Linked DNA regions of Sus scrofa. The protein of the gene in region 1 interacts with the protein of each later gene in a pairwise test. Links are inferred from orthologs where the notes say so. Each region holds a gene or a part of one and is shown in the gene's direction. Other genes may lie near its edges. The genes, in order: SPDEF and NKX3-1.

Evidence for each region.
Region 2: the proteins of SPDEF (region 1) and NKX3-1 interact in a two-hybrid assay, tested with the Homo sapiens proteins (2 studies listed by BioGRID). The link is inferred for Sus scrofa from reciprocal best matches to the Homo sapiens genes SPDEF and NKX3-1.

The regions. Positions count from the first base shown.
Region 1 is NC_010449.5:30,515,404-30,518,596, reverse strand, and holds the end of SPDEF (SAM pointed domain-containing Ets transcription factor), read left to right. Parts: coding exon 1-82; intron 83-2,039; coding exon 2,040-2,218; 3' UTR 2,219-2,672; downstream 2,673-3,193. UniProt on the Homo sapiens protein: May function as an androgen-independent transactivator of the prostate-specific antigen (PSA) promoter. Binds to 5'-GGAT-3' DNA sequences. May play a role in the regulation of the prostate gland and/or prostate cancer development.
Region 2 is NC_010456.5:7,784,185-7,788,556, reverse strand, and holds the start of NKX3-1 (homeobox protein Nkx-3.1), read left to right. Parts: upstream 1-1,520; 5' UTR 1,521-1,600; coding exon 1,601-1,925; intron 1,926-3,154; coding exon 3,155-3,573; 3' UTR 3,574-4,372.

The DNA.
Region 1 (3,193 bases):
CACCTGTGGCAGTTCCTGAAGGAGCTACTGCTGAAGCCCCACAGCTACGGCCGCTTCATCAGGTGGCTCAACAAGGAGAAAGGTGAGCGGGGCCAGGGGCAGCGGGGGGAGGAGGCTGGGGGGCCAAGGGCCTGCCAGGTGCTGGGCACAGGAGGGTTGGGGGCTGGCTGGGGGAGGGGGGCAGCCCCCGCCTTTGCCCTGAATGCCACATACATACCTCATGGACCAGCCCAGGGTCTGTGTGCCACCTGCCTCCACTTCCATCCCCTGGCCAGGCTCTGCCTGTTGAGGGTCCCCAGCGGCACCCAGTGCTTGGGGGGACATAGCAGAGGCTTAAAACTCTGAGAACCAGACACAGTCTCTACCCTCAAAACTTTAGAGCTCCGCTGCCGAGACCAGTGGTGTCCAGTGAGAAACACAGCGCAAGACCCATAGGCCATATTAGCTTTTCGACAGCCACAATTTAAAAAAAAATTAGTAGGTGAATTTAATTTTAATAATACTTCTATTTAATATTATAAATTCTTATGATTTGAACATATAATCAACATAAAAATTGTTAATGAGATATTTTACTAAATCTTCAAAATCTAGTATAGAGTCTACACTTATAGCGCATCTCAATTAGGACGGGCCAGGAGTTCCCTGGTGGCACACTGGATTAAGGACCTGGCATTGTCACTACTGTGGCTCCGGTCACTGCTACGGCTAGGGTTTAATCCCTGGCCCTGGGGAACTTCTGCATGCCACCATCGCAGCCAAAAGCAAAAATTAGGACTGGCCCCATTTCAAGGGCTCAAGAGCCACCTGTGTCCAGCTGTTAGCCCCGTGGAAGGCACAGGCTGAATGGAGTGTGGATGTATGCTTTGGAAAAGGCTCAGAGCCAAGAAACCTGGGTTCTAGGCCCCATCCTGCCATTAGCAGCTGTGGGTGCCTGGGGCCCAGGCTTCCTAGTTGTGAAATGGACTAGATTTATTCATCTAACAAACCTTTGCTGAGCACCTCCTCTGGTCCCACACTTGCTCAGTGGACCCTTACAGGGAGTTAGAGCATCCGCAGGGTGCGGGGAGGACTGAGCACGCACAGTCTTGTAGGAGAACCAGCAGTGAAATGAGCTGGTGTGCAAAGCGCGTCAGGGCTATGCTCCGGGCCCAGGAGGAGTGACTCTGGGCTGATCGCAGAGCAGGAGAAGGGGGTGGCAGGGGTGAAGAAATTCCTGCACAAGGTCCGATGAGTCTGGGTGTACGTTTGAGACCAAGAGCAAGCTGATTTGCTAGGGAAATGGAGGGAAGGGAGATGGGGAGGCCTGGGTGGTCTGGGAGACCTGCCTGGAGTGGGAGAGTCGACCCGGGCTTTGCCAGGTAGTTTAGAATGAGAACTGGGGGTATTAATGAGGAATCATTTATCCTAAAGGGTACATACACCCTTCGGGCTCTGCTCTAAGCACTTTCTGTAACCACTCAACCACGTGGTAGTCCCTGCAGCCTCCCGACAGGAAAAAGGGGTCTCAGACAGCTTCTAAAGGTAGAAAATGGCAGAGTCAGGCAGGATTCCAACCCAGGCGGGCCTGGCTCCAAATCCACTCTCTTTCCACCGTCTCCTACAAACTAATCCTGCCAGAAAGCTCTGTGAGGGCTGACGGGTCTGAGACTAGCAGAGAGCTCTTTCAGGAAGTGCCAGGGTGAAGGTGGGGGCGGGGATGGCCTTGCCACAGGAGCTGTGTCTGCAGCCCGGAGCCCCTCAGGGCTTCTGTGTAGTATGTGCAAACCCCATGCTTAGGAGTAGAGGCTGGCGAGGGCCCCAAGTAATGCACCAATGTAGGCAGGCTCCCCCTGCACCTAGGGATTTGTGGGTCTATAGCTGGATTTGCCCACGTTTCTGGGAACCCTCACAAGTGGGGAGAAGGTCTGGTGGCCGCCAGGTGATGCTGGCCCCCTGGCTCTCCGAGAGATGGAGCTGCTGGTCTTGGTCTTCCTCCCACCTGCTGCCCGCCTTGCACCGCTGGCTCTCACTGGCCCCCTGCCTACCCACCCTCCCAGGCATCTTCAAAATTGAGGACTCGGCGCAGGTGGCCCGGCTGTGGGGCATCCGCAAGAACCGTCCTGCCATGAACTACGACAAGCTGAGCCGCTCCATCCGCCAGTATTATAGGAAAGGCATCATCCGGAAGCCGGACATCTCCCAGCGCCTGGTCTACCAGTTTGTGCAGCCCATCTGAGGCTGCCGTCGGGCCCGGGCCCACACTCGCCCTTGCCAGGGCCCCCTCCTGCCTGCCCTGCCTTGGCCAGACCCTGAGCTGGGGGACAGGGCAATTCACTGGCATCTGGAGTTCAGAGTCAGAGTGGGATGGTCCCCTGCACCCAGGGGGGCAAGTGAGCTTTCTGGGGCCTGAGGGACCCCAGGTGTGGGTGCTCCTGTGCAGTCCCCTGGAAGACAGAGGGGACCAGGGCTGTCCTCGGTGTTCATGGTTCCCCAAGGAAGACCCTCCCTCCACCCCAGTCTCTGACCCAGAATTTCCAGAGCAGAGCCAACAGAATGGCGGTGACTTAGCCAAGTGCTCTTGGCCACCCATTCTGCCCCGTGCCTGGCATGGTGCTGGCGGACGTCTGCACCCCTGAGTTGGAAAGCCAGGGGCACTCTGGGAACGGATAATAAAGATACTAGAGAACTGACGTGGCCCTGGTGTCCTGCAGTGAGCAAGTGGCACAGCCTGGAGGCCGTCACTGCTCAAAGTCATTGTGGTCACAGGGGCCTGGGGTGGTCCAGGGAGGCTTCCTGGGGGAGGTGGTGTTGCGCTGAGCCTAAAAGGAAAGGGCTGGGTGGATGGTAGAAGCTATGAGAGAGAGGTGGCGAGGCCTCAAGGCCAACGAGGGGCTGGAATGGCCCTCACCCCCCCGACCCGTGTGGACTGAAAGGGTGGGGGAGGGGCTGGGGCTGCAGATGGTCAGTGGTAGGACTGAGCGATGGTGGCCTCTTTCCCACCTCATTCCCTGCTGTAGGGGGTGCTGACCCTCCCGAGAGGGGGCCCAGAGCCCTTGTCCCGCTTGGCCGACCAAGGGGGCCCTGGGAGGGGGCAGCAGAGGGTTTCAGCCCTCCTTGTGGGGCACTGGCTCTTGCAGCAAACAGAGTGGAAACTTGGCTTCCTTGGCTTCCAGCTTGGCTTTGCTGGCACTTTCTCTTGCAAGAAGCCACA
Region 2 (4,372 bases), on another chromosome or scaffold:
GGCCTCAGGATCATTATACTCAGAGGATAAAGAAAAAAAAAACCCAACAATTTCACAAGGTTACATACTATATGATGTTTGAGTCTATTTACATAACATTCTCCAGATAGTAAAATTATAGAAATGGAGATCAGATTAGTGGTTACCAGGGAGCTGCAATGGAGAGAAGGGATTTGGGTACACAAATACAAAGAGATAGCACAGAGAGTTCTTTTGTGGTGATGGAACAATTCTGTATCTTGATTGTGGCTTTATAAGGATCTATTCATGTGATAAAATTGCATAGGGCTACACACACATACACCTGAATGCAAGCTTTTAAATGGTGAAAATAAAATAAGGTCTGTAGCCTAGTTAATGGTGCATATTAATGCCAATTTCCAGGGTTTTACATTATACCAAAGTTATATATAATATGTCATCACTGGGGGAAGCTAAGGGTATGGATTTTGCAGCTTCCTGGGAATTTATAACTATTTCAAAAGAAAAAGTTAGAATTTTTTACAAAAAAAAAATGAGAGAAGAAAACCATTTTTGGTGAAAAATTTCCCATTGCACAGGGTGGTTCTCTTTAGCTGTTGCTTTATCCACAGTAACTTTACTCCCACCCCAAACGCACAACATACCAACTTTTTGAAAGGTTTCCAATCAAATGAAAGGTGTCTTAGACTAGGATGTACAGAGAAATAAAAATAGTTCAAAAGAACACTGGTATACTCTTTTTTAAATTCACCAATTAATATTTTAACCCCTTCACTTCATCATATAGGATCTATCTGCCCATCTATATCTTTGTTTCTGAACCAACTGAGGGCAAGTTACACAAATTGTGGGACTTTGCCCTTACATACTTTAGCGTTTATTTCCTAAGAATATTCTTTTACGCAGTCACAGTGTTGTTAGCAACTTCAATAATGTTAGCACTGATTCAATACTTTGTCATCGTCCTATTCCACTTTCATCAATTGCCCCAATAAAGTCCAGTATAGAAGGCAACCTGGGGCCAGATGCTGCACTTAGCTGTCATGTCTTTTCAAAAGCCTTAGATTTAGTAGGTTCAGCTTTGCTATCAATGTCTCCCTGTCACTGGGCACCCAGAATTCTTATCTGTGAAGTGGGATGGTGTTAACTGCCTCAACTATTTCTTTTCGTGAGTAAAGGGACTTTAACAGTCCTCTAAGAGCTAAATGGAGTGTTTCTCTGCTGCATCATGATTCTCCAGAAACAGCGAAACTTATTTTGTGGGTTGGGGCAAGAGGAGACTCGCTTTGGTTTTCTCTTCCAGCCTGAGAAAACGACGTAGCGGGGAGGGAGGCGAGATCGGATTCAGGAGAAGAACGAAAGTGGAAAGGAATCTCTCTGGAAGACCAGGCCGAGACAGTGCTAGACTCCCCTTTTCCCCTCACCTGGAGGGCCCAGCGACCAATCAGCGGCGGGGTTCGGGAGTACGGCCAATGGGAAGGCGGCGCGGCGCCCCCCCCCCCCCCCGGGTTATAAGTGCACCCGGGCCGCGGAAAGTGAAAGTGGTGCGGCCGCAGCCGGCGCAGCCTGGGCGCAGATGCCCGGGCCTCTGCTCAGGCGCGGGTGCTGAGCCGCCAGGATGCTCCGGGCTCCCGAGCTACGGCCGGGGGAGGGGGGGACGGCAGGCTGCAGCCCCCGCGCCGCACCACCCATCCAGTCCAAGCCGCTTACCTCCTTCCTCATCCAGGACATCCTACGGGACCGCACGGAGCAGTGCGGAGGCCAAGCGGGCAGCCCGCAGCCGCAGCCACCGCCGCAGCCCCGGCGCCAGCCAGACCAGAGGCGAGACCCTGAGCCGGAGCCCAAGGGAGGAAGAGGCAGCGCCGGGGCGCCTGAGGACCATAGGAGCGCCCGGCCCCGCGCCGCGCGGAGGGAGGCCGAGCCGCCGGCAGAGACCGAGCCAGGTAAGCTAGCGAGGTTGGGGAGGCCGGTCTGGGCCGGGGTGGGTCCCACAGGAAGGGCAGCCGGCCCGCGGGCTACACCGCATGAGAGCGTGTGCTAGGCGGACCTCCTGGATCTCTGCTGCAGAGATGCGGGAGCCGGTGGCGACAGGCAAAGAGACCTCACCGCCTCCGCTGCGGGCGCGCCTGGGAAATTAATCCTGAACCCCAGCGTCTGGGCGGCGCAGGATTTAGACATGGGCTTGACTCGCCGGGCAAGGTGCTCCCTGCGCCGCTAGGAGACCCAGGCTCAAGGGTGAGCGCACAACACAGCGCCCACCGTGCCCCAGGGTCCCAGGTGGAAAACCCCCACACCGCTCCCAGCCACCGCGGGACCCACAATCGACGCTAGCCTCATGTTACCTCTTGGCAGTTACAATAACAAGTTACTGACAGTAACTTATTAATATTAATAAACTAGGATTTGACCTGCAAAGACTCCCTTTGCTTCCCAGTCCCATGGGCAATAAAACAGTAAATTTAGGAGCCCCTCTGGTCTTGAGGACATGTAACACCGTCGGAACATTTGCAGTAGACTTTCTTTTCTTTCTTTCTTTCTTTTTTTTTTTTTTTTTTGGGTAGTTAAAATTGGTACATAACATTATATTAGTTTCAGGTGCGCAACATAATATTTGATATTTATATACACTACAAAGTGATCACCACAATAAGTCTATGTATCATTACCATTCAATTGACTGCCTTCTTACAAGGCATCCTAATGGCTCATTTAAGAAGTGGGGGGGGGGGTTTAGAGCAAGTGAATGAACTCTCTACCACGGAAGCCCTCTCTTGCCACCAGGGCATTAACACCAGATGCCTCTGGGGCCTGCTTTTCCAGGTATCTTATTTCTCAGAGCCTGCCCTGCCTCCCTTCTCCCTCCTCTCCTCAACACATGGATCCAGAATCCCTATTTAATTCTACTGGACAATGTGGCAGGAAGTTCTACCACTAACCTCTCCTACCTTGGGGTCTTGATGACTCCTGGAAAATGAATACATGGTCTAAGTTGACACTCATGCCCCACTCATAGAGTTCCTGAGTCCTGTGAAAAAAGTGCAATGTATCCAAACTGACAGTGGGCTGTTTGTTCACTCACCAGAAGAGATAAGGGTGGATTGAATTCTATTCTCTTCCCTGCTAACATGTAACGTTTTCCTTCCCATCCCTGCCTCTCCGCTCTCCTTTCCAGATAGGCACCTTGAGACTTATCTGCTGGACTGTGAAAACACTCCAGGCGCCTTGCCGAGCCTGCCCCCAACCCCCAAGCAGCCGCAGAAGCGCTCCCGGGCCGCCTTCTCCCACACTCAGGTCATAGAGTTAGAGAGGAAGTTCAGCCACCAGAAGTATCTGTCGGCCCCCGAAAGGGCTCATCTGGCCAAGAACCTCAAGCTCACGGAGACCCAAGTGAAAATATGGTTCCAAAATAGACGCTATAAAACCAAGCGGAAGCAGCTCACCTCGGACCTGGGGGACCTGGAGAAGCACCCCTCCTTGCCGGCTCTGAAGGAGGAAGGCTTCTCTCGGGCCTCCCTCATCGCCATGCATCACACCTACCCTTACTACCCCTACCTTTACTGCTTGGGAGGCTGGAGCCCAGCTTTCTGGTAACAACGCCGGCTCAGACAACCATGTGTGATCAAAAGCTGCCTTCCCCTGGTGGTCCCTCTGGAAGGCAGAAGGGCCCGGGGTCAGGGAGGACTGGGCCGCAAGAGACCTGCAGACTGAAAGCACTGGAGGTTTGCTTGGAAATCCCAGATTCTTCACTGGTGTGCCAATGAAAGACCTGGGACAGGAAATAACTTAAGAGCCAAATAGGTCCCCCCCCCCACGGGAATGTAGGTCATTTTTGCTTTGAGAGACCCGCTTGAAGTGGGGCGGGATACAGTCAAGTGCTGTTTCCAGCATCACTTGTGGAGGCTGCCCACATCACCTGTGAGAATTCTCCGCCTCCAGCTCCATCCTCTTTTGTGACTGAGCATCCGCTCCTCCTGAAGGGGGTGTGGGGGAGGGGAGGAGAGCTAAGATGAGATGTCACCTCCAGAATTAAACTGAAGGTCAGACGCCTCTCATTGGCCTTGGAGTATGACCACGGGTTGCTCTCCATCCCTGGGGGAGAGCAGGAAGCACAGGGTCCCACAGAGAAGCCTGTGGTGCTCAGGGCAGGTTGGCACAGGATACAGAGATGGGTAGGAGGAGATGAAAATATAAGCTTCTTATTCTTCCTTTTAAAATAATAGGCCAACTGAAGTATTTACAGGGTGGCCCAAGCAGAACAAGAAGAACTCACTGTGGTTTTAAGACAAGCTGTCTAAACAGAAACTTTCCCTCAAGAGGTGGGCTGGGGCCGGAAGAATCTCCCCGTGTCCAAGACAGTGGCTTAAGGAGAAGTCCCCACGCATGCTGCTGC